Linked DNA regions of Lepisosteus oculatus. The protein of the gene in region 3 interacts with the protein of the main gene of each other region in a pairwise test. Links are inferred from orthologs where the notes say so. Each region holds a gene or a part of one and is shown on either strand. Other genes may lie near its edges.

Region 1 (7,966 bases), on a different chromosome or scaffold from region 3:
TTGGAGACAGATATTAAAGTATTAAGATGGATATGTTATTATTCTGATTTCTGTACTGGAAAATCTGATAACATTCTAAAATCTGGACTATTAGAGGCATCACAGCAATATGTACCTTGATGAAACAGAATCACCTGAAAAACGTAGAAGATTTATCACCTAGATAAATAGCCTAGAATTTAAAGCAAAGAAACAAGTGATAGATTATAGATTTATAGCCTAGAAATAAGAGTTCTACAGATACTTCCAAATTAGGCACTAAATAGATAGTTGGGTATAACAACCAAATACAGAGCAAAGTAGTAAACTGCTTGATCATTTTATAGCTTTGTACAAGCAAAGCAACCAGAAGAAAATAATCTCAAAACTATAATAACATTGAAGGTATGAAAAACGATTAAATTAATTATATTAAAATATAGTGGGGAAAAAGAAAATGATAAGACAGTTTCCGCAGAACAGTGGAAGAACAGATTTCAACTAAGCTCCACCAGTTTACAAGTTTGGAGAAATTGCTGTTGAAAACATTAGATTCGGTTTTTTAATAGTCTTAAAATTCCAGCAAAACAAAAAGGAAGCTATTCACGATGTTGGATGTTAAGTGGAGAACAAGTTGCAACTTATTCAAACACATTCTGGTCATTCATGAAAAAACAACAATATTGGAAATTCATATACTGTATTTTGTGCTTACTAATATAGTAAATCTACAAATACCCTTTGAATTATCTGTTATGTATTTTGGTACTTTTACTTCTGACTACATGGAATTAAAGGATGGATATATACTAGGAATTATTTTAGCTGCTAGTAAGAACACTATCACTAGAAAGTGGTTTATTAAAGAACTCCCAACAGTGCTGTGAAGGAGATAATTCTATAAGGGAAATATAATGGAAAAGATCATCTTTTCTTTTAGGTTAGAAGCAGAAAGGTTTGGCTAATACTGGCAGGCCTGGATTGGGCTGAGGTCCCATTGTGACTTGATTTTGTTCTGTGAAAGAAGATGAAACAGCGTTTTATTTTTGCTGATTATATGTACTGTAACCTCCCATCAATGCTGGCATAACGTTATATAAATTAATAGAAATAATATTACATAAGAATATAATTAATTCATTGATTGGTTAATTAATAGTTAATTAAGTAATTAGTTAATAAGTTTAATGAGTTATTATATAAAATGAACTTGCACTACTTTGTATTGTACATGTTGTATTTGTAAATTCTTTAATTGTTAAATAAAAAGTTTAACAAACAGTTGAAGGTCACGTGAAATAAGACAAGCACAGTGTATCAAGCTAGGTTAATCGACTACAGCGTTTCCAGTGCTAGTTATGTGCAGTACCTAATGGAGACCACAAGAGGGCATCCTTGATTAAACGTCTTCTCTGCGCTCGGAAATCGCCGGCAGGGTCGCTTGTAAGGTCTCTGAAAATTAGTCAGTTCTTCAGTAGGGGTAGCACCCCGAGCGAGTGAGCTGGCATCAGTCTTGAATGGTGTATTCTGTTCCCTGTTCTCCACCGTTTCTCTGCAGCTTCCATTGTGTGGGCCTTTGTGTGTGTTTGAGCGCTGACTTACTGAATCTGTTTTGTCTTTCCCTTATAATTATCTCGATCTGGCGAATTCGGTGATCTGAAAATTACAGCTTTGAGCAGGTAAATCAGTGCGGCCCATTCGGGGCCTGTTTTTCACGACGCTTCAATCATTACTACAGGCTGTCGGACCTGCCGGAATTTCGAGTTTTGAACCAGTTCTGCGGCTTAGAAACACGCGAAACAATGAGAGCAACACTCCCCGCTATGAAAAACATGAGTCCTGTTTGTGCGCCTCGGGAACAGCGAGGAGGGGCGTGTTGATGATCTCTGTTCCGCATTGTTTAGTCCGTCTGAGTCCAGATTCCTGTACATACAGAGTGAGACAGAGAGTGAGACAAAGTGAGTGCACAACTAGCAGAGAGAGACAGAGAGTGAGACAGAGTGAGTGTACAGCTAGCAGAGAGTGAGACAGAGTGAGTGCACGGCTAGCAGAGAGTGAGACAGGAGTGCATAGCTAGCAGACTGAGAGTGAGACAACGGAGTGCACAGCTAGCAGACAGAGAGTGAGACAGTGAGTGCACAGCTAGCAGGGAGTCCACAGCTAGCAGAGTGAGACAGGAGTGCACGGCTAGCAGAGAGTGAGACAGAGCAGTGCATAGCTAGCAGACTGTGAGACAAAGAAGTGCACAGCTAGCACACTGAGAGAGTGGGACAGAGAGTGAGTGAACAGCTAGCAGAGTGAGACAGAGTGAGTGCACAGCTAGCAGGGAGTCCACAGCTAGCAGAGTGAGACAGAGAGTGAGTGCACAGCTAGCAGGGTGTGACACAGAGTGAGAGTGCTCAGCTCACTGAATGTGAAACAGGTAGTATTCTGAGATTAGACAAATATTCTTCCCCACAAACAACAATCCTAATCCCTGAATTCCCACCCCTGCCAGAATCAGAACAGCTCCCAGTCCCACTGGAGGAGGAACAGAGAGCCTCTCCACAGTAACAGGAATGTTCTGTTGTGAGTGGCTGTGAATGTTTTGCTAGTTATTGCCTTCCCAGCATCCAACAGCAATGCAAGGGCCAGGCCCAGAACACCCTTGGAATTCGAATCCGAGTGCACACCTGAGCTGTGGCCTCACTCCATTGCCTGCAGTTTTCTTACAGGGTGGGTCTGACCCTTTTAAACACACAGACACTTTGAACAGCCTGTTCTGATAGGGCCTTGTTTGCTGAGCGTCTCTTTTGAGAAGGCTTTGACCACGAATCTGGGGTTTAGAGGGCTCTGACTGTGCAGCCCTGTAACTGGGCTCTTCACTATCTGTAGGCGTCTGTCTTCAACCTACAGGTCGTCGACATTTGGGCTAATTAAGCCAACAGCAGATTTATTTAAATATTTGAGTAGTTTGAAATAAAACCCGGAAGATTCCCTAACGCCCAGGACCCGTTAAAGACCCTAATATGCGCTTTACCGGGTTTCTAAGATGCGCCAGAAATTCCCCGGTTATAAAGGAGCTCCTTCCATCCAGAGACCTGTTGCCTTTTACACCCGACTTTTACCGAAATAGGGATTTTTCTCAACCCGGCCTGCAGGAAGGGAGGCGGATGAGAGCAGAGCCGAGTCTCCTCTCTCCCTGACGAGAGGCGCGTCCGGCTGCAGATCAGAGGCCCGGCGCGCCGAGACAATGCGGCCGTTGTTGCCGGACAATCTGTCCCCATCAAAGCCGGGGTGATTAAGTCGCGGCTAGCGGGAGAAAGGCACAATGGTTCTCTCACGGAGACCAGCGGCCCCTCCGAGTCGATATAAATATCCCCTCACATAAAAGCAGCACGACAGAAAGATGTCCCATTGGTGGAAACACGCAACTTCACTCAAAGTGCCCATCGCCCCCCGGAGGGTCCCTAAGCTCTGCCCTTTCGGAGCAGGCGCTACGGGCCCGGGTCTATTACCCTGAAAATAAGGGTATCACTGCGACCCGGTGTGTTTGAGCGGAGCGGCGTCTGGCTGGCGGGACCGGCGGGCGCAGAGACATCCCACTCTCGGCCACTGACCTGGTCGGAGAGGTCATTTTGCTCTTTTGCTGCCATCCTCACTAAAGCGCACCAGCGCCTTCACGTCCCGAAACAGTTCCGGGAGTGGGGGATGAGCAAGACTACCCTCACCAATTTCTACCCTAATACGGTTCAGAGTGTCCTGGCCGGTGGTATTGCGGTGTGGTACGGTGGAGCCACAGTACAGGACAGAAAAGCCATACAGAGGGCTGAGAGGTCCGCGCAGAAAATCCCTGGGACCGGATATATCTCGACCGCAGCCGGGCTCGAGCTATACTTCGGCACCCAGTTCACCCTGGCCACGGTCTGTTTTCACCCCTGGGTTCCGGTAGGAGGTATCGCAGTATCAGAACACTGACCAATATATTCAAAAAACAGTTTCCTCCCCCCCAAGCAGTCCGCATCTTAAACACCTCAAAGTAGCACCTGCACTTTAAGGTACTGCGCTGTTTGCGCTATGTCCTGCCTTGGCTGTATTATAACGTCTATTTTCTCAATGTATTGTCCGTGTTTGTCATTTCTGCCTATTGGTTTTTCCTCCACAGCTGAACGAGTAAGCGTTCCAATCCACTTGTTGTATCTGGCAAATACTAATCTTGAATCTTGAATCAAGGGAACCCGAGAGTGATGACTTTTGCCGTCATTTCCAAAAAAAAAACAACAACAAAAAGACACTTCATTTGATTACTCCCTGTGACATATATATATATATTTTAAATCGCCTACACCTTTGTTTTGTAGCCTCACAGCCCGACGGACCCTGCCCGCCGCCTCAGCCACGATTCGCAGCGCTCCCACGACGCTGGTGCCGATTGGCGGCTCGGGGCAGCGGCCCGTCCAATCAGCGCCCCGGCTGCGCTGTTTTATACTAAGGGAGTGGAGCGGGGGTGTCGCGCTTCACAACTTTCTGGATCAGCTTGTGGCGGATCGCCTCGGACCGCCGCGCCGAGGAGTCACCGGGAAGTCCGTCGTTACTATTACTGCCCGCACTCGGATCTGTTGTTGTTGTTGCTGCTGCTGCTGTTTCTCACCCCTGTCAGTCTGGGGTTACCAGGTGACACACGTGAGAGAACCTGCCTGCCGCCGTCAGTCTGGAACCGAAACCAGTTCAGGTGGATTGAGGGTTTTCCGCTGTTCTCTCAGGCTGCGAGGCAGGCACACCTGGAGACGGGCACATAGATACTACGGGGAACAAAGAATACACCAGGAAGCTAAAAGCGGATAACTCTTGGAATTCGGTCTGGGAACGCACTTTGCGAGCCTGGGATCTAGAAGGGACGGGAGAGGGGAAGAGGGAGTCGGGACACAGCGTCTGTTCCGGCTCGACATGCACCCCTGACCCGCCCGGCCCGGCCACTCCGCTGCAGTCCAGTCCAGTCCAGTCCGGGCGGATGGCGCTCTGCCGGCAGGTGCTCGCAGTGTGCCTGGCGCTGCTGTGGACCGGACAGCCCGCTCGCCCGCAGTCCCACGAAGGTAAGAGACCTGCCGTCCCGCACGTCCTCGTGCCCCCCCCCCCCGCTGCTCTGCGCTCCGCTCCGCGTGCCGGCTCTGTGATTTAGTAGCGCTGGAACCCACACTTCCTCGTGCGGTCCGCATCCACCTGCCGCCCCCTCCCGGGGGTGACCTGGCCCCCTCCCGCAAAGGGGAATGACTCGGGGGACAGAGCCAGGCGTCAAAATCTCTCTTCAGTGACACAACACTTGACCTTTCTAGCAAAAAAAGAAGGACGCGTGTTCCCCGGAGGTGGGTGCTCTGCCGTTCCCGTCGTGGCTGATAATGTTCCGGGAATGGCGACCGGTAAAGTCCGTGAGTCGTCAGCGGGCCCGGCTGGCTTGGTGTGTGCTCTGTGTTGTGCCGGGTGAGGCAGCCGGGCTGCGGGACAGGCTGACGAGGCGCTGCCGGGGGGTTCCCTTGAGCCCCGGGTTTGACAGTTCCCCGGGAGCTCCTGAGCCGTCACTGCCCGCCCCGCGTCCTCGGGGGGACCTCTGTCTGACTCGGTATGCGAGGAGGTCTGACAGCCGTGGCCTTTGTACACGTAAACCCACTGAGAGGTCACTGACACTGGGGTCACTGACAGAAGGGCTGACGGACGGAGGGACACCCCACTCTCAGACGATAGAGAACCGGGGGCCCGTGTGTCCACATGAACATGGGTCTCGGAGAACTCGTGACGGATCCTTCCACTCGCTCGGTAAACCTCTGGAGCTATCGTGTGTGAGAGCTGTCTGGATTTCAGCCCATCGGTGTGTCTGTGTGTTTATCAGTGTGTTACTGTGTGTGGTTCATCAGTATGTGTGTGTGTTTATCATTGTGTGTGTCTATCAGAGTGAGTGTGTGTATCAATGTGTGTGTCTGTAAGAGTGTTTATCTGTGTGTCTATCAGAGTGAGTGTGTGTATCAGTGTGTGTGTCTATCAGAGTGAGTGTGTGTATCAATGTGTGTGTCTATAAGAGTGTGTTTATCTGTGTGTCTATCAGAGTGAGTGTGTGTATCAGAGTGAGTGTGTCTATCAGAGTGAGTTTGTGTATCCGCGTGTGTGTCTATCAGAGTGAGTTTGTCTACCAGAGAGAGTGTCTACCAGAGAGAGTGTCTACCAGAGAGAGTGTCTATCAGAGAGAGTGTCTACCAGAGAGAGTGTCTATCAGTGTGTGTCTATCAGAGAGAGTGTCTATCAGTGTGTGTGTGTCTATCTATCAGAGAGAGTGTCTATCAGTGTGTGTGTGTATCAGTGAGTGTGTGTATCAGAGTGAGTGTGTGTGTCTATCAGAGTGAGTTTGTGTATCAGTGTGTGTGTCTATCAGTGAATGTGTCTATCAGAGAGAGTGTGTCTATCAGAGTGAGTGTGTATCAGTGAGTGTGTATCAGTGTGTCTATCTATCAGAGTGAGTGTGTGTATCAGTGTGTGTGTCTATCTATCAGAGTGAGTGTGTGTATCAGTGTGTGTGTCTATCAGAGTGAGTGTGTGTCTATCACTGTGTGTGTCTATCTATCAGAGTGAGTGTGTGTATCACTGTGTGTGTCTATCAGTGAGCGTGTGTATCACTGTGTGTGTCTATCTATCAGAGTGAGTGTGTGTATCACTGTGTGTGTCTATCTATCAGAGTGAGTGTGTGTATCAGTGTGTGTGCTCAGCAGTGACAGACCTGTTCCCTGGCTCAGCCTGTTTGCTCTGCTGCACCTGCAGGGCACATTCTTGCTGGCCTTCTCAGGCCTCCTGCCTGTGCTGAGGGGCCGATGGCCCAGCCAGTCCCCAGGCCCCTTCACTCTTCACAGCCTGCAGAGACGGAAGGTGTGTCTGGTTCCCGGCGAACTCGCAGGCAGTGTGGAGGGCAGACTATCTGGGGCCCTTCTGCGTGACTCAGCCTGGGTGGGGGCAGCAGCAGATTAATGAAGCCACAGCAATCGACTGTAGCCACTCCCTCAGCCTGGCCGAGTTTCCGGTCCGACAACTCCCAGCAACGGCCTCGCAGCGTCTGAGCAGCCCCCCCACGAGCCTGTGCGGGAGTCGGGGTTCAAGTCCTGTCCCTCACTGGGAATGTTGTCCGAACCACACCAAAATCTCCTGGCTGAGCTGCCACCGCGAGAGGCCTAGCCTCAGGAGAGGAGGTCACAGGTCAAACAGGGCCCCAGATATCAGTGACCACTGCAGACAGTGGTCAGTATGGGGGCGCCTCTCCCTCCTACTACCGAGAGAGGGGTGACGCTGGCTGCCCCGGGGCACTCTGGGAAGGTTCAGCAGGGCAGGTGTGGTGTTTGGATGTGTTAGGCTGTGCTAGGATGGCCAGTCCTAGCAGAGGTGGGTCCGAGACGGGGCGCGGAATCTGGGGTCCGACTGCCTACACGACACCTCCCTTGCTGAGCCTTCCCAGAGTGCCCTGGGGCAGGCAGCATCACCCCTCTCTCTCCAGCAGAAAGGAGAGACACCCCCATACTGACCACCGTCTGCCCTGGGAGAGACAGCCTGTGTTTTAGTCCGAGTAAGGATGGTGGCAACGCATTACGATTGCCGTGTGTGTGTTGACCCACATTCACACCTGCTCAGAGCATTATTGGGAAACAGGGACTGATGGTTTTCTATCCTTCTGCTTTTTAATAATGTAGTTTATGAATCTGTGTGTTGGAGGAATATGAACACTGAAACCTCGGCCTCTCTGCCTCTCGGGACCTTGTCCAGAGGGGTGCAGTGGGTACTCAGGGGTACTCTGGGAGTACCTTGGAGTGAGAGGCTGAGATTGTTCATGCCTGGCTCTTCATCTGGTGACAGGGCTGTTATTCCTGTCATAAAAATCTTATAGCCGCCTGCTGTAAAACTTTACTGCAGGGCTTATGTGCTGAAGTTCTGCTGGCTGCAGAATCCCCTCCTGCTGTACAGCAGAGCCAGTGTCAGG
Region 2 (7,313 bases), on a different chromosome or scaffold from region 3:
TAAGTGAGGAGCTGATGACAGGACCCTTGTGTCAAACCATACATGTTATTTATGTACATGTTATTATGTTATTTATGTTATGTTATTACATGTTACTGTTATTGCTATTGTGTAACTGTCTATTGTCTTATCTTCTGTCCTATTTATATACTGCACCTGAGTGACTAATGAGAAACACTTTTCATTATACTATGCACCTGTGTAAGTTTAATGACAATAAAGTTGAATGGAATTGAATTGAAGCCAGCCTGTGCCCAGCTCTAGGGCTGTACAGGCACCTGCACAGGTGGACTGTGTTTCTGAAGCATGTCAATCTTGCACAACCTGAAGGGATTTCTTCCTGGGATCGAAGGGGTGGTTTAAACTCTTTCTGCATCCTCACAGATGAGGTGTAACTGATTTCCCTTATTTCTAAATGCCTTCTTCCAAAACCCCCCTGTCCATTTTATTTGTCCTTTGCCCCTTGAAAGAGCTGTTAGGTCACTCGTTTTACCTTTAAGGAAATATAGTTTTAGAAATTAAAATACATTTTTAGCCCATGCTGCGATTCTTTATGGGATGGATGGGTGTCTTGATGTGCATCAGAAAATATGGATTTTTGTAGGGTCGGTCACCCGGGGGAACTCTGGGTATTCATCCTGGGGTAAAGCTTTTCATAACTCCTACAGTATGAGATGCTTTTTCCTATTATGTGCCTGAAAATGTGCACGTTTCCTGTGGCAGATCGAGCCAGAGTGCAGGGGATTCATAGGAGTGAGTTATGCAAAATGTAATAAAGCAGTTTTATCATTTGCATTGTGTTTCTGAATATATTATGATAGCCAGAGATTCTCAAGGTTTCCTGTTATTAATGCTTCTGCTTCGCTACACGCTCATCCATTAAACAGGCTCTGACTCTCCCGCTGAAATTATAAACATCCACCTTCACAGAGCTGGCTTATAAACTACAGTAATTCTGTGTAGTTAATTTTTGTATTCTGAAAATATACAATGTTTAATTGACGGTTTGAGAGAGGTACGGTCTAAGCAGCACTCTATTAAAAAGCTATTGCGCTAAAATTAAATTTGTTATTACGTTAATCAAGTCTGGACACGTGGGGTGCACTTACTAAAACCCTATTAAATATGACTTCTTCCTTTGATATTTTGATAATCACCCACACGTTACATTATTAAAAGCACATTAAATTAAACATTTAATGTGTCTTAATAATAAAAGGCCAGTATCCGAATCATCATAGTTTTCAACACGGTATGAAATCTGCATCGTCCTTTACTCTTTTCTTGACCCCAGAGGTACTCAAAGGCTCCCCCGTCTGGATTAGGGACGGCATTACAACAACGCGATCTGACTGCAAGTTTTAATAGCTGCGGAGGGCGTTTCATTTGACACACAAGTACACGCACACATGGCCTTCGAATGTCAGACAGGACCCTAAAAAAATCTACCTCTTTTGGCTGCCAGGCCAGTGGGTCACTTTGATGAGAGTAATTTTACCCTTCAATGTGTAACCTCTTCCTCCTCCTTTCTAAATAATAAATATAATTAAAATAATTACACGTTGAAAGTACACCAGCAGACGGCAGTGGGTTTGAAAAGCACGGGATAACAGAACAATGCTCTCTTATTTTAAACACAAAACTGTTTAATTAAAAACCGAACTGAAAACTAAAGAAAACTAAATTATCTATATTATAAATAGTAGACCCACATTCCAGCGCTGAACAAAACATTAGTTCAAATATGAGTTACCACCCTCAGAACAGTCGGCAGGAACCCTTGCATGCAAATCTATAATATTTTCTGGTGTTAGAGCAAATAATCTAACTACACAAACAAAACAAAAAAAAAACATTAACATCTGTGCCCAAGTGATTAGTAAGTATTTTCCAGCCAGCACTAGCCTGGCTGAAGCACAAATGTTGCTAAATTGAAATGATAACTCAAGTCAAGTCTCACTGTTCACTCTCGCGGTGTAAAGTACTGCACCGTGACTGTCCACACAGCACATTGTTCTTTAAGGTACAAAATCTTTTATTTTTGTTTAAAGGCAATTCCAGTCATAGTGCGAAACACAAACTTAGACAATGATGGATAATGTTATTTCCTCCCTGAAGCTGAGGTTGTTTTTTTTAATTATAATTCCAAGAATAAGAAGATACGAATACAAGAAAGACTGCAAATGAGAGGAGGTAGGTAGCATCTGATCTAGGGATCTCACAAATTCCACAATATTATAATCATCATCATCATCATCTTTTGAGAGTCTATGTCTTTGTGCCCTGTGATAGTCTAGGGTGTATGCTGCTTTGTGCCAGTTGCTTGCCAGAATAATAGTAATCCTTAGATTTATATAGTGCCTTTCCAGACACTGCACTCAATCATCATATCATCATCACCTTCATCACAGACCCCATGTGAAGTTCATCCACAAGCGAAGTGTAGCCCTCACCAAGCAGGACACTGGGAGTGCCACAGCACTGTAGTGGGAACTCTGCTGACCACATAGCCAGACACTCAGCTGAACATCTCATCCAAGGGACAGCATCTCCTACAGCACAATGTCCCTGGTTTACATTTCTGGGGACCAGAATTTGAATTGGACATTCGAATCCAAACAGAAGAACACCACCTAATGTTCCACACACAAAAACACACACTTGCAGCAATTGAAACTAGAAGGTTAAAAGTTTATTTAAAATCTCGTATTGGTATTTTACATATTTATTTTGCCTTTCATGAACAACAGTTACAGGTCCCCCAGCTGAATACTGACCAGGTTCAGCCTTACTTACAGTACCTTCTAACATCTGAAAAGAGTTGTTTTTTAGATGTTTTACTAATATTTTGATTTCAACACAAATGAGATTTTTAAGAATGCTAAGAAATGCAACTAGTGTAAAAAGAAAGAGACTTAATTTACCTTCTTCTTTGGAATCTTTATAATAAAAGTTCATCTGCTACATACTGTATGCTCTGTATTTATTACATGTATCTAACGATATGTTTCTGAGCATGATTTATGCATATGCAGCAGAAACATGCAACTGCTTGTGCTAAATTTTCTGAAATGCAAACAAACTGTCTTCTCATGCTGAATGTCTTCTGTAAGTCATTTTAGGATTATCGTGGATGTTAACACTCATGATACTGCAGAGGGTTAGGCCAGCCAAAAGGCAGAGTTTGGGCCAGATGTTCCAGCATATTGTGATTCAAAGCTGTGTGTATCCCCCTGGCAGGGACTGAATGGCAGGTGATGGTGAGAATTATTGGGAAGACAAGTTTCTGGGATTTTAAGGACACAAGTGAGCCTAATGCCAGTGGCTTATCTTTTGTGGTTTCTTCCACTAAATCTTTTTCATGTTTCTGAAGAGAGGAACCTGGAATCACTTACTAGTGGTCTGAACAACTTACCAACAAAGGACACAACACAAAAACAATTGGAGAGTGACACCAATTGGACTTCCTGTACACACGCAGATACACCGTGCATAATAAATGCGAAATCAGCAGGACTTGCCTTGTAGGAATATAAGAGAAGTACAAAAGAAGCACTTTTGTAAAGAATTATAAGTAATATAAAAGAATCGTAAGTGGGTTTAAAAATCCACCTGTGTACTTAGTGTCATATACGAACTATTATGGAAAATTGCGTTTGGCTTGATTACAGCCGTCAGTATAAATAGTTTAATTTAAATTTGTTCTAAATAGTCCACCGTGCTCGTTGTTTCACTTTTGCAATCAATTTCTAATAACTGTTACACGTAGGACTCTTACTTTAGTATGGCTTATGATATCTTAACCCATAAAGGTGTTCTTTGAAATCGTCCTTCTTCCGTGATAAGACAACGTTTTTTTGTTTAATCTATTACTGTATTTATCAGAAAGTTTTTTAAAGGTCAAATAATGCGCTTCTTAAATGCTACGTTCCGATTATTCCAAGTCTGGGAAACAAAATTTTATCTCTGATAATAGTATTATTAGAAAACACTACCAGGTTGACGCCAGAGAACCCAAGAAAATACCACATTAAATCGCGCCGACAGTTGCGCGTTCACCTGACTCGGTTCTGCCTTTGAGACAGGTGTTTGCGCTGAATAAAACAGCAATTTTTGGGAAGGCCTGAAGACCCAATGGGAGCGCAGGAAGGCGTGGTTAAAGGCGGGGACCAATTGTACCGGCCGCCTTTGGAGCCAATGCACCGGGCGATGGGCGGGGAAACTCCCTCAGGGGGGCGTGTCTCCAGCTTTCGAGCGGACGCTGTGTGCTGAACTCTGCAGAGAGTAATGGCATGAGCTTAGCACTGCAATCAGGGCAAGCTACTGTATACCACGCTGTGGAAAGTACATTACTACTGTGCGAACTTCGGCAAATCTTTTCAAGGCACAAACAGGACTAAGACACACCTGGAGGAGACATATTTACGTTTCAAACCGTGCATCGAAACCCTGTCATCAGCTCAAGATTTCTTTTGTCCATTAAAAAATAAATAAATAAACGGGATATGTTGCTGGACATGTGAATTTAAGGAGTAACTGCTACCCCCCAAAAAAATGAAGCCAACCACTCTGTACTGCTTCGGCTTGCTGTTCAGTTTTGTGATCGTCAGGATCAGCTCATCGCAGTCAGGTGGGTAGGATATATTTGTTCTCGTATCGTGCGCAAGGTGTATTGTTAAATGTCATGCTCCAGCGTGTGTTGTTATTGGGCTGTGAGGTACTGTTGTTTCTCACTAGTCGGGCTAGTAGTTTCTGCGCCGTGTGGACTCTACAGTTGCTGGTAACGCTGGTCACAGTCTATTTCTCACAATCGCCAAATGTGTGATATTGTACATTGTGGACCACAAGTTATGAACGGAATGACAGTCAGTAAATGAGAGCAGGAATGTGTTGTTTTTAAGGCTCTTTCGGCTCCGACACTCCTCTTTCACTACGATGTCGATCTTGATACTGTTTATGCTGTACCTGTTTTTGAGAGACTGCGGGGTTGTGCTATCGCGCCTTGATTATTAGGGGTATGTTAAAGTGCGTCTCGGAGACTCAAGAGAATCAGGATTTTTGGTTTTTTAGAGAATTGGACATGGAGTTCACGCCGCACGTGTCCCGGACACACCGGAGAACTATTGTCCACTCACTCACGTTTTCCCACCGTGTTTTTTCGTCCCTTGAGCAAAAAGAGGCTTAACCAGTTCGTTTGTGTTTCTTCCCGCTGCCTTCTTGAGCGATTGCACCTGACCTACCGCCTTTCCCGTCGTCAGTGATTTAAAAAATGCCAGCAATTTAAGAAGGACGAATGGAGGTGCTATAAATACGCGATTTTAATAATCGATGCGGTGTTGACGATTTAAATATCTGCGGACTACTATCAGCATCCTTAACGCCGTTTGGTGTTTTACTAGAATTTAGATATTCTTCACATTGTATGGCATCTTCAGATGTTGTTCGTTGTCATATGGTTAATCTGCGTAATGAAACGTAAACATGTATAAAGAACATCTAATTAGTCGTTAACGCCAGTTATTATTATTAATAATTATTAGCTCATAGCTGTCTCGCGTTTCGATTGACGAAGCTATAGTTCCCGTTCAAAGACACCGAGCCTCGACTTGCGCATCTGAAACATTATTTACAGAGCACAACAAAAACTTCTTCGTTCTTTGGGTGTTCAATGGTGTTTATGAGAAGTAAATAAACTAAATTTCGGAAGTAATGTGGCAGTCTGTTCATAACATAATGAACAGATTGGGAAACATTCGAAGTACCCACACAGGACCTGTAACATGCGAGTAATAACTACTGTACATTTTTTTAAATAAATTAGCAAGTAATCGACTAATTAGCACTCATTACTAATTACTCATTTAATGGTTTTGCACCTGAGTGGTGACATATAGTATCTTACGCGTCTCCAAACGTTTGGGATCACAAAGGGTTTTGATACCTTGTTCTGTATTTTCTTTACTGTAGTCTCTGTAGGCACAATAAAATGCACCGTCTGTGCCATATGAAACAGAATTTGGCTGACTGTTAGCTTGGTCTATTGGAGGACCGGGCATTATTACGCTGCAAGAGATCGGGCTGTGCTGTTTAAACAAGTTGAGATATAGTTTTGATTGCTTGGGAGAAACAACCGCATCTCCACACGGTGGTGGTATGATCCGGAGACTCGCAGTCCTTTCGCGCTGTGTACAATCTGAACTCTGCAGCCTGTGGCGTCTCTTGTCTTATACTGTATGTTTCGCAGCTGATAGGATTCAGGCTAAAGGGCAGCCGAGCCTCGCTGAGAGTCATAGGTGTGTGTTTCCCTTGAGATCGTGCGCCGGAGGGTTATTCGCGAATGTGTGTAACTGCAAGGTGTGGAAATCTTGCGTGGGTCAGAAAGTGGAGAAGTTTCAGGTTCTAGCGAAAAGTGCGTCTTACTCACTTCTCAGACAGTGGCATATACCTGTTCATAATTCTCCCTTATACTCATCTATCTACATTATTATGCAAAGGTGTACTGTATATCTGTATTCAAAACATTCCTCGGAGAACTTCTAGAAAGGAGTTCTTCAATACTTCAGTGAGATTTTGCATCCGTTTACTGTACGTTCAATATTACGAGTTAGCGTTCCGTTGTCTCAAGAATTGTTTAATGAAAAGTAGGCGAGGCGTTCTCCTTTTAATTAAATGGCAGTTCTGCTGTTTCACCCCCTCACGAAAAACAAATCCTCACATTAAGCGAACGTCCTTTTAAAGCGTACTGAACTCTAGAAATGGGTTACAAACGTTGTTAATGATAATAGTGATACTATACTTTTAGCCAAGGACATATTCTGCACGTGTACAATTGGAGCCTTGGTACGTGGTTCATTAGAAATCTCTCCCAAGTCCGCAGCAGGCTCTTTCGGTGTTGTGACTGTCCCTGGACTAAACAGGACTTCACTGTCATAAAGGACATGAGATGACGGGTAACACATTTACAAGTGCCCTTTCGTCTTCTTTATTAATGTTCAGTTCATAAACTGAAACACAGATAATCTTCGGGATTCCCTGAATTGCTTCTAACTTTATGATTACATTATGATGGGTACTGTTTTAGTAGTGACAGGAAAAATCCATAGACTCAGACGTCTGGGTCTTTCCTTACGTTGATTTAATGCGTTCAAGGCACATCACCCCAGGTCTGGCACGTCTTCGCTGGCTCCCCATCACACACCGCATTCGGTTCAAATGTTTACTCTTAACTTATTAAGCCCTACACACCGAATGCCTGCATTGCTTAGCATCTCTCGTTACTCCCCATGTACCAAGCAGGGCTCCTGTTCAGTACT
Region 3 (7,212 bases):
AGTGCTAAGTCAGTGAAGGGTTTGATGGTGTATCTGTGGGTTCGTCTAGAACACAAACCAGCAGGAGTGTGGGTCACCGGGGCAGGGACTGGGAACCACTGCCTCAGCCCCTGGGGCCCTTAGTTTACTGAGAAATACAAACAGAGGAGCTAGAGACGAGAGAAGATCATACAGCCTGTTTGGCTCCTTTGTTCAGAACTGATCTCATCCAGCCCATTCCTGAAAGCAACGAGAGTATCAGACCCAACAGCATGGGTTGGGCAGCTTGTTCCACACTCCCACCACCCTTTGTGAAAAGAAGTGCCTCCTGTTCTCAGCTTTGGATGCCCTTCCATGGAGTTTCCACTGGTGTGAACTCCTGGTGCGTGCCTCTCTGCTTATTCTGGAGAAAACCACTGGCTTTGACTCTGTCGGTGCCTCTGAGGATTGTGAATATTAGGTTCATGGTGCAAATCGACAAAGGCTGGGTTCCTTCAGCCTGTCAGTGCAGGACTTTCCCTTCAAGCCCTTGAATGTTTCTGGATTCTCTTCTCTGGACTGACTCCAGATACCTTTTCTACAACCTGGTGACCAGAATTGTCTGCGGTTATCTAAATGAAGTCTTCCTGGTGTGTTATACAATTCTAACATATATCTCTTGATTTAAATTCTAAAACAATGTGTTCTGATGTACTCTCTGTCCAACACAGCAGTGTTCTTATTCATTGCAGGGCTATCTCTAAGCACCTTCTTATTTTCTTATTAACTCTTTCTGCGAGAAAACGTTTTGAGACAGCCAGATGTTGTTGGGCAGTGAAAAAAAAACACCTTTAAAAATAAATCTACAAACGAAAAATAGACTGAAAAACAGAAATAAAAAATGATTTGCATAGTTCGGTTGACATGAGTCCCACACAGCACAGGGTCAGCGAGGGAGGGGACGAGGGCTGTGGGTTGTGATGGCTCTATTTCAGGCTTCTGCTTCAACCCCTGAAAACCGATGTGTCAAACAGAGAGAGAAACAGCTGGCCAGCTCCTCCACTGCCCCCACAAACACAGAAATGGCCTCCAGGCTCTGAGGACAGTCTCCCTGCTGGAGCACGGTGGACAAATTCACACTCTGAAGCAGGGGTCCCCAACCCAGGTCCTGCAGATCCCCAATCCAGTTATTCTTACTGGTCACCCGGATTCTCCTGTTATTTGAAGATGAGGAACATGTGTTTCAGCCACTGATCAACTAAGTGAGTGATGTTTGCATGAAGGGCACACTGTCCTTTGAAGGCTGATGGATGTCTTGATATTAATTCCAGATGAGCTCTAAGTTAATTAATTAATTGCTGAGAGCAAAGCACTGGAGCCCCTGTGCTGGTAGAGGCGTAGGGGAATTTGAGATCATTTGAGGTCATTTTGTGTCATTTCTGGAGTCTGGTGTGTATTGACCTAGAAAGCAGTAGTCTTTTAGCTATGCCAGGTGCAACTAGAATGAAAGCCCAAGGAGAGAGGATTGATAGCTTTCCAATGCATCCGGCATTCCCGCTGGACGCCTCTGTGACCGCACCTGCTGAGCTAAGGACCCCTATGCGTGCTTGTCAGCTCTCCGCTGCCTAGAGCTAGTCTCCCAGCTTCCAGACCCCTCTCTCAGACTGCTCCCTCCTCTTCACTTCAGAGTCACCCTCGAGCCAGTCCAGAAACTGCTGCCGGCCCGTAACGGATCCCAGTGCGCCCTCAGCAGATATCGTAGTGTCGCAGGCTGTCTTCCGGTTGTGCCCCAGTCTGGCCACAGTAAATGACATCACTAGTGCTCCGGACTAAGGTGCAGCATCTTCCAGGGTTTGGGTGCTCTTGGGGGTGAGAAGACAGTCCTGGGAAGAGTTGGTGGCAGTCACTGGAATCAAGCTGTGCATTGCTCATCTGAACATCACCAAGACACTCCAGAATGTGAGAAAGCAGCATGATGGGTCTGCACAGGAGGGAGTGAATATGAGGGACTGCAGTGAAGGAAATCGGGGTGCCCCAGTAAACTGGGGAGCTGTGGGGGGTGAGGGAATCCAGTCTGGCCTGCAATGGCATTGCCTGGTTGCCCACTGGAGCCCTGCTGCCTTCCTCTGTCTCTTCTCTCCCGCCATCTGTGCAGCTGGAGGCTGGAAAAAGAGGCCTGTTTCTCTCCAGCGCCCTGACAGCTGCTGACCACATGCTCTCCGGTTTGACGCCTTGGCTGGAGCCCCATTGTGCAACGCAGCAGGCTTCTGGTTTTCCGGACCTTCATGAAAAAAAGGCCACGCAGGCACGCTGAGGCACCGTTGTGTGTGCGCGTGGAGGGGGGCGGTGGTTTGGTTTATTCGTTTATCAGCACGGCAGACGGGTCGGGGTTTTTGAAAAAAAGAAATTCTGCCCTGCGGACAGGGTTATCTCGCGGGGCTCGGGAAGCGGCAGCGAATGAGGGCGAGAGATTAGCAACCACAGCCCCGGGCCCAGCGGACACACGGGCCCATCCGTTGGAGCCTGAATCCGTCTCTCCCTCTCCCGCTGTCTGTTACAGTTGCTGTGCGCTCATGGCCCCCGCTCCATCCCTTCCTACACCCCCTCCCCCAGCGGACGCAGTGACTCCGTCTCTCTCTCTCCTCCAGAGTGCTCTACACCCAGAGCCCCCGCCCCGCCGGGCTGGAAACAGCTGGGGGTCTTGTCTGGCCCCCGCTGCGCCAGGAGGAGGCCGCAGTGTGGTGTGGCTCTCGCCTCTCCTTGCAGAGAGCCAAAGAGGGGACAAGAGGGTCCAAGCCCATTAGACTCTGGGACAGGGGGGTATAATATGTCTAAAAGGGCCCAAAACAACTTAGCAGCTACTGTACAACCACCGCTGGAAAAAAAAAAGGTGTCATGTTTTTAGCTGGAAGTAGCTGGAATTCCATCAGGGAACTATTTGCAGGATTAATGGTGGCTGAAAATAAGCAAAGGGGATGTTGATGCGAAGCTGATGCATCAATGTCCCTGTGTGAGGGTCTTCTGGATGACCCCTGCAGGCCAGAGGTCAAGGTTCAAGGGTCAGGGTGGCCAAGTCTCTCTGCGGACAGAGTCGCTGGCTCTCGTGGGTTTTGTTCTGACTGGGCATAAGATGACTTTTAAAAGCATTCTGCTTCGATGTAGGATCTGGGCCAGGATTTTTCTGTCTGTGGGCAATATCCAGTTCAAATGCACGGACACGTCCAGGAGGGAGGGGAAGGGGAAGAATTAACAGTTCAAGAGCATGAAATGTTCTTGAAAGGAGGAAAATTTCCAAAGACCAATATGGTATTCAAGTTCTTAAATGTCTCCTCTAAACAAATAATAGAGAAGAAGAACACGAAAATGCAGAAGGGAGAAGGGCATATTTTCTTTTCCTCTATTTTTCCGAACAGACCTCTATTGCATCAGATATAGAGCTGTCTGGTACTTTTGTGTGCTTATAAGGGAACAAGGGCCTTTGTGTGGAGGGACTGTGGCCTGCCAGTCCAGTCCCCAAGCTCTAGTATGAGCTCATACCCACCCCCCCAGCTTCCTCACGCCCACTGCTGGCCTACCCGACCCCCCAGGCCTTATCACCACGCAGGGCCGGCTGCTCTCTGCTCTCCCTTCAAAGCCTGGCTATCTCTTCCATCGCAGTCCCGGCCTGTTCTCAGACTCCCTGCCTCTCATGGGCTGCTGTTGTGTAACAGTTACTGCTGGTAGGAGGCATTAGAGTTTGGGAGGGGGAGTGGGGGTGCTGCCCATCATCATGAGGTCTGCTCTGCCCTAACTTTGCACCAGGATGGGCTCTCCATTGCTCTATCCTGATGAAAAGCATGTTTATAGGCCCCTGCAGTGTAGAGGGACATTTCTGGCATTGTTACGATTAATACACAACAGACTGTAGCCACTAGATTGGTGATTAAGGCTTGTGGCGAATTCTGCTGCAGAGTTGCAGGATGTAGTTTGGGCGACATCTACCGACCGTTAGCGGAGCCAATTACAATTTGATTCGGACCTGTTTTTATTGGCTTGACGAAAAAAAATCCCGCCAAAAGCTTCACATTCGCAAAACTGAATGTGACAACACCCTATCGTTTATTTTGTAACAGTAATAAAAGCTGCCCCCCTTCCCAGTTATGTGACACCGTGATCCGCGTCTCCAAATACCGAGGAAAACGGTAGCATTGCGAAGGTGGGTGGTGTGACGTCATCAGCCTGCGCCCCGGTGGGTGTCTGTCTGAGGATGGAGAGCGGCTGAGCGCAGCGACTTTTGAATGAAGATTGAAGCATCTCGACAGTTCATCTGCGATTTGAAGAAAGCACACCTGTAAGCAATTCAAACTATAAAACAGTACACTGTTTCGGCTTTTCCGTAGGAGCGTAATAGAAAATGTCTCTCTTGGCGACAAATCGAGAACTAAAATGTGCAGTCAGTTCAGAAAAGGTCCACTTGAAGTAGCTTAATTAACTTCCCACTTAGCCGTTACAGTTTCTTTTCGAATACTGTTATTGATGATTGTCTTTATTTGGGTTACAACATGCACGTAAATATGTGGCTATTAGCCGCAATTTCAATCTATTTTTAATTATTTTAAAACTCGTGTGGCTTTGGCTACAGTAGTAAATGAGTACAGCAGTAACACCCCGGACTGGACTGTTTAAGATCGAGCGCTTTTGTGTTCCGCCTTACAGTAACGAATTTGAGAAGAATTCTACAGACATATTCAAGTTATTAATTCAGTAGGAAGAGTCACTTGTGCTGCCGTTGAGTGAACTTTATGTTCGGTTCTTTTGTAACGTGGCCAGACAGTGTAATTCAAACTCTGGGAATCTTTCAGAATGTTTATTTTCTGGTGGGAGCGTAATGTTGAAATAATAAATAAGTTTTTGTTTTTTAGCTAAACTCACAGACTGTCATGCAACTATAGGAAAGGAAATCCATGCTTTGCCTCAGAAACTAGAAACTACAAACTACAAACTGTTATACAACCCACGCAGAAATGACCCCCTATGAGTCATCAGTGTCAGTACGTGAGCTGCTGAATGAAAACCCTGTATAAATACTTTTAAATGCTCTGCAGTCTTTAACCAGTGCCTGAGGAAGTTTGTCCCAGCATGGATTCCATACCCAATCCCGAGGAGGCGGGGTCTCGTCGAGGCTCCTCCCACTCCCCCAAGTCACCAGGCTCCTCATCCAAGGTAGGTGGGCGTGGCACAGTCTGAGGAAGAGGTGTAACTCAGGGGAGCCCATCATTCTCTTAATAATTTCTCACACAGTGTTTATATAGCGCTTTTCTTGACACTTCACTCAAAGAGCTTTACAGGTAATGGGGATCCCTTCCACCCCCACCAGTGCGCCAGTCCACTCCCCACACAGCAGCTCTCAGAGGGGAGGAGAGCAGAGTGATGAAGCCAGTTCAGAGAGGGGGGTTATTAGAAGGCCATGATTGGTAAAGGCCAGGGGGAAATTTGGCCAGGACGCCAGGTTTACACCCGATCTCTTCAAGAAACGTCCTGGGATTTTTAATAACCAAAAAAACTCAGGACCTCGGCTTTACGTCTCATCCGAAGGACAGCGCCTTTTTACAGTATAGTGTTCCCGTCATGGATGGGGAGTTTTGTGCTTGATCATGTAACGGCTACTCTGCAGTTTCTCATTGTGGTGAGACAGGGCTGTGTAGAGTGCACAGTTACTAATTAATTCCGATGACAATTAGAATGTGAAGGTCAAACTGAGGGAGGTGGCTAGCAGGGGACTGTGTGGGGGCGTGTCTGTGTGAGCCCCTCTCATTGGCTCTCCCCTGTGCCCCTGCCCGACCCTGGCTGATGGATAGCTCTGCCCTTCCAGACGCTTGCTCATTAAACGCTCCGCTGCTGTAGAGGCACTCTGCCCCGAGACCTGGTGGCCGAGCCACGTCTGGCCCGGGAGGCAGGCCCAGGTAACTCCAGGACGGAGCTCTGCCGGAGAGGGAGTGTGTGAAGGCGGAGCAGGTGGAGAGGGCAGGGGGTGCACGAGGCCCAGGAATGAAGGCTGCACAAAGTACAGGTGGCTGAGAGCTTGACCCCTTTCCACGCAAAGCCCCTGAGAAAGATTTAAGGATTGAATGCTGTTTCTCGCTGACACAGGTGCCGGACTTGCCTTTTTCCCAGAATTTGGAAATGCTAGAGAATCTCCTGGTTTCTACCCTTGTAGAAATCGTTTCCTACAATCTCATAACGTATAGGTTTACAATAATGAATACAGTATCTTGTCAGATTGTGTTTGTCGCTTGGATCCAGTGACGTCTTTCTCCCCCCCAGGCTATCTGATACCTATGCCATGGTTTCATAGTTTCTGTAGGGGACACACGAGGGCTGGTGTTTGCGTTTAGAAAGAACAGTGTTCCGTGGGGATGCTCCACGGTTGAAAAAAGACGGCACAGTGGTCTAGTCATGTAAAAATAGCTTTCGGGCTTCTGCACGAGAAGGGCTCCAGTGCGCTTTCTCGCGTGCCGTGTGGTTGAAGCCGATACTGTGGGTTCTTTTAGAGAACAGCTGGATGAGATCCTGGGATCAATTAGTAACCGGACACAGTAACGCCGGCATTCCTCCTCATTTCTCTCCTTTGGTAAAGGCAAGTAATGCACCTAAAGTTGATGTGTTTATGTCATGTCAGTTACATTTTACGTTGTAATTACATTATATCAGGGCTCTTTGATGGGGTGAGGTTTCCACTTCGACCCCAGCGTACTTGAGCAGGAGATTCAGGCACTGAGAGCAGGAGCGGGTTTCTCTTGGACACAGAGAGGAGATCGTGGGGCAGACTGCTTGTCCGTATTGCTAATGTGGGACCGGACTTTGTGACCTCTCTGATCCTCTCCTGCAGTGGCAGCACTGCACTGAGGGTGGAGCTGAGGCCAGGTCCAGCCCTGCACCAGCTGCACCAGAGCACCAGTGCGTCACTGGGCACGGTGCCAGTCATAGCCCTCGGCGCTGTAGCTGTGTTAATTTTTAAATGTCATTTGGCTGTGGTGCACTAAGCCGGAGGGGCAGGGGCGTGTAGCTCAGGTGTGTGTCTGAGACGGAGCTGTTTAAAGACGCTGTGATCTGGCTCCACACTCCACACTCTGCTCTCGCCCTGTACCGCCTGCGGACCAGCGGAGATACCAGCCCTGCACTTCGGTCAGCCATCCAACTCTGTTCAGTCTTTTCTTTTTCTTTGCATTTTTTCAGCTTCATTTGACTTTTTTCCCCTTTCATTTTTCCTGCTTG

Evidence for each region.
Region 1: the proteins of hdac6 (region 3) and receptor tyrosine-protein kinase erbB-3 interact in a protein complementation assay, tested with the Homo sapiens proteins (2 studies listed by BioGRID and IntAct, with this or other methods). The link is inferred for Lepisosteus oculatus from reciprocal best matches to the Homo sapiens genes HDAC6 and ERBB3.
Region 2: the proteins of hdac6 (region 3) and receptor tyrosine-protein kinase erbB-4 interact in a protein complementation assay, tested with the Homo sapiens proteins (2 studies listed by BioGRID and IntAct, with this or other methods). The link is inferred for Lepisosteus oculatus from reciprocal best matches to the Homo sapiens genes HDAC6 and ERBB4.

What each region holds. Positions count from the first base shown.
Region 1 is NC_090696.1:14,628,144-14,636,109, forward strand, and holds the start of receptor tyrosine-protein kinase erbB-3, read left to right. Parts: upstream 1-4,961; 5' UTR 4,962-4,969; coding exon 4,970-5,051; intron 5,052-7,966. UniProt on the Homo sapiens protein: Tyrosine-protein kinase that plays an essential role as cell surface receptor for neuregulins.
Region 2 is NC_090707.1:8,562,699-8,570,011, forward strand, and holds the start of receptor tyrosine-protein kinase erbB-4, read left to right. Parts: upstream 1-4,273; 5' UTR 4,274-4,554; coding exon 4,555-4,630; intron 4,631-7,313. UniProt on the Homo sapiens protein: Tyrosine-protein kinase that plays an essential role as cell surface receptor for neuregulins and EGF family members and regulates development of the heart, the central nervous system and the mammary gland, gene transcription, cell proliferation, differentiation, migration and apoptosis.
Region 3 is NC_090697.1:75,338,622-75,345,833, reverse strand, and holds the start of hdac6 (histone deacetylase 6), read left to right. Parts: upstream 1-4,172; 5' UTR 4,173-4,288; intron 4,289-5,042; 5' UTR 5,043-5,076; coding exon 5,077-5,160; intron 5,161-7,212.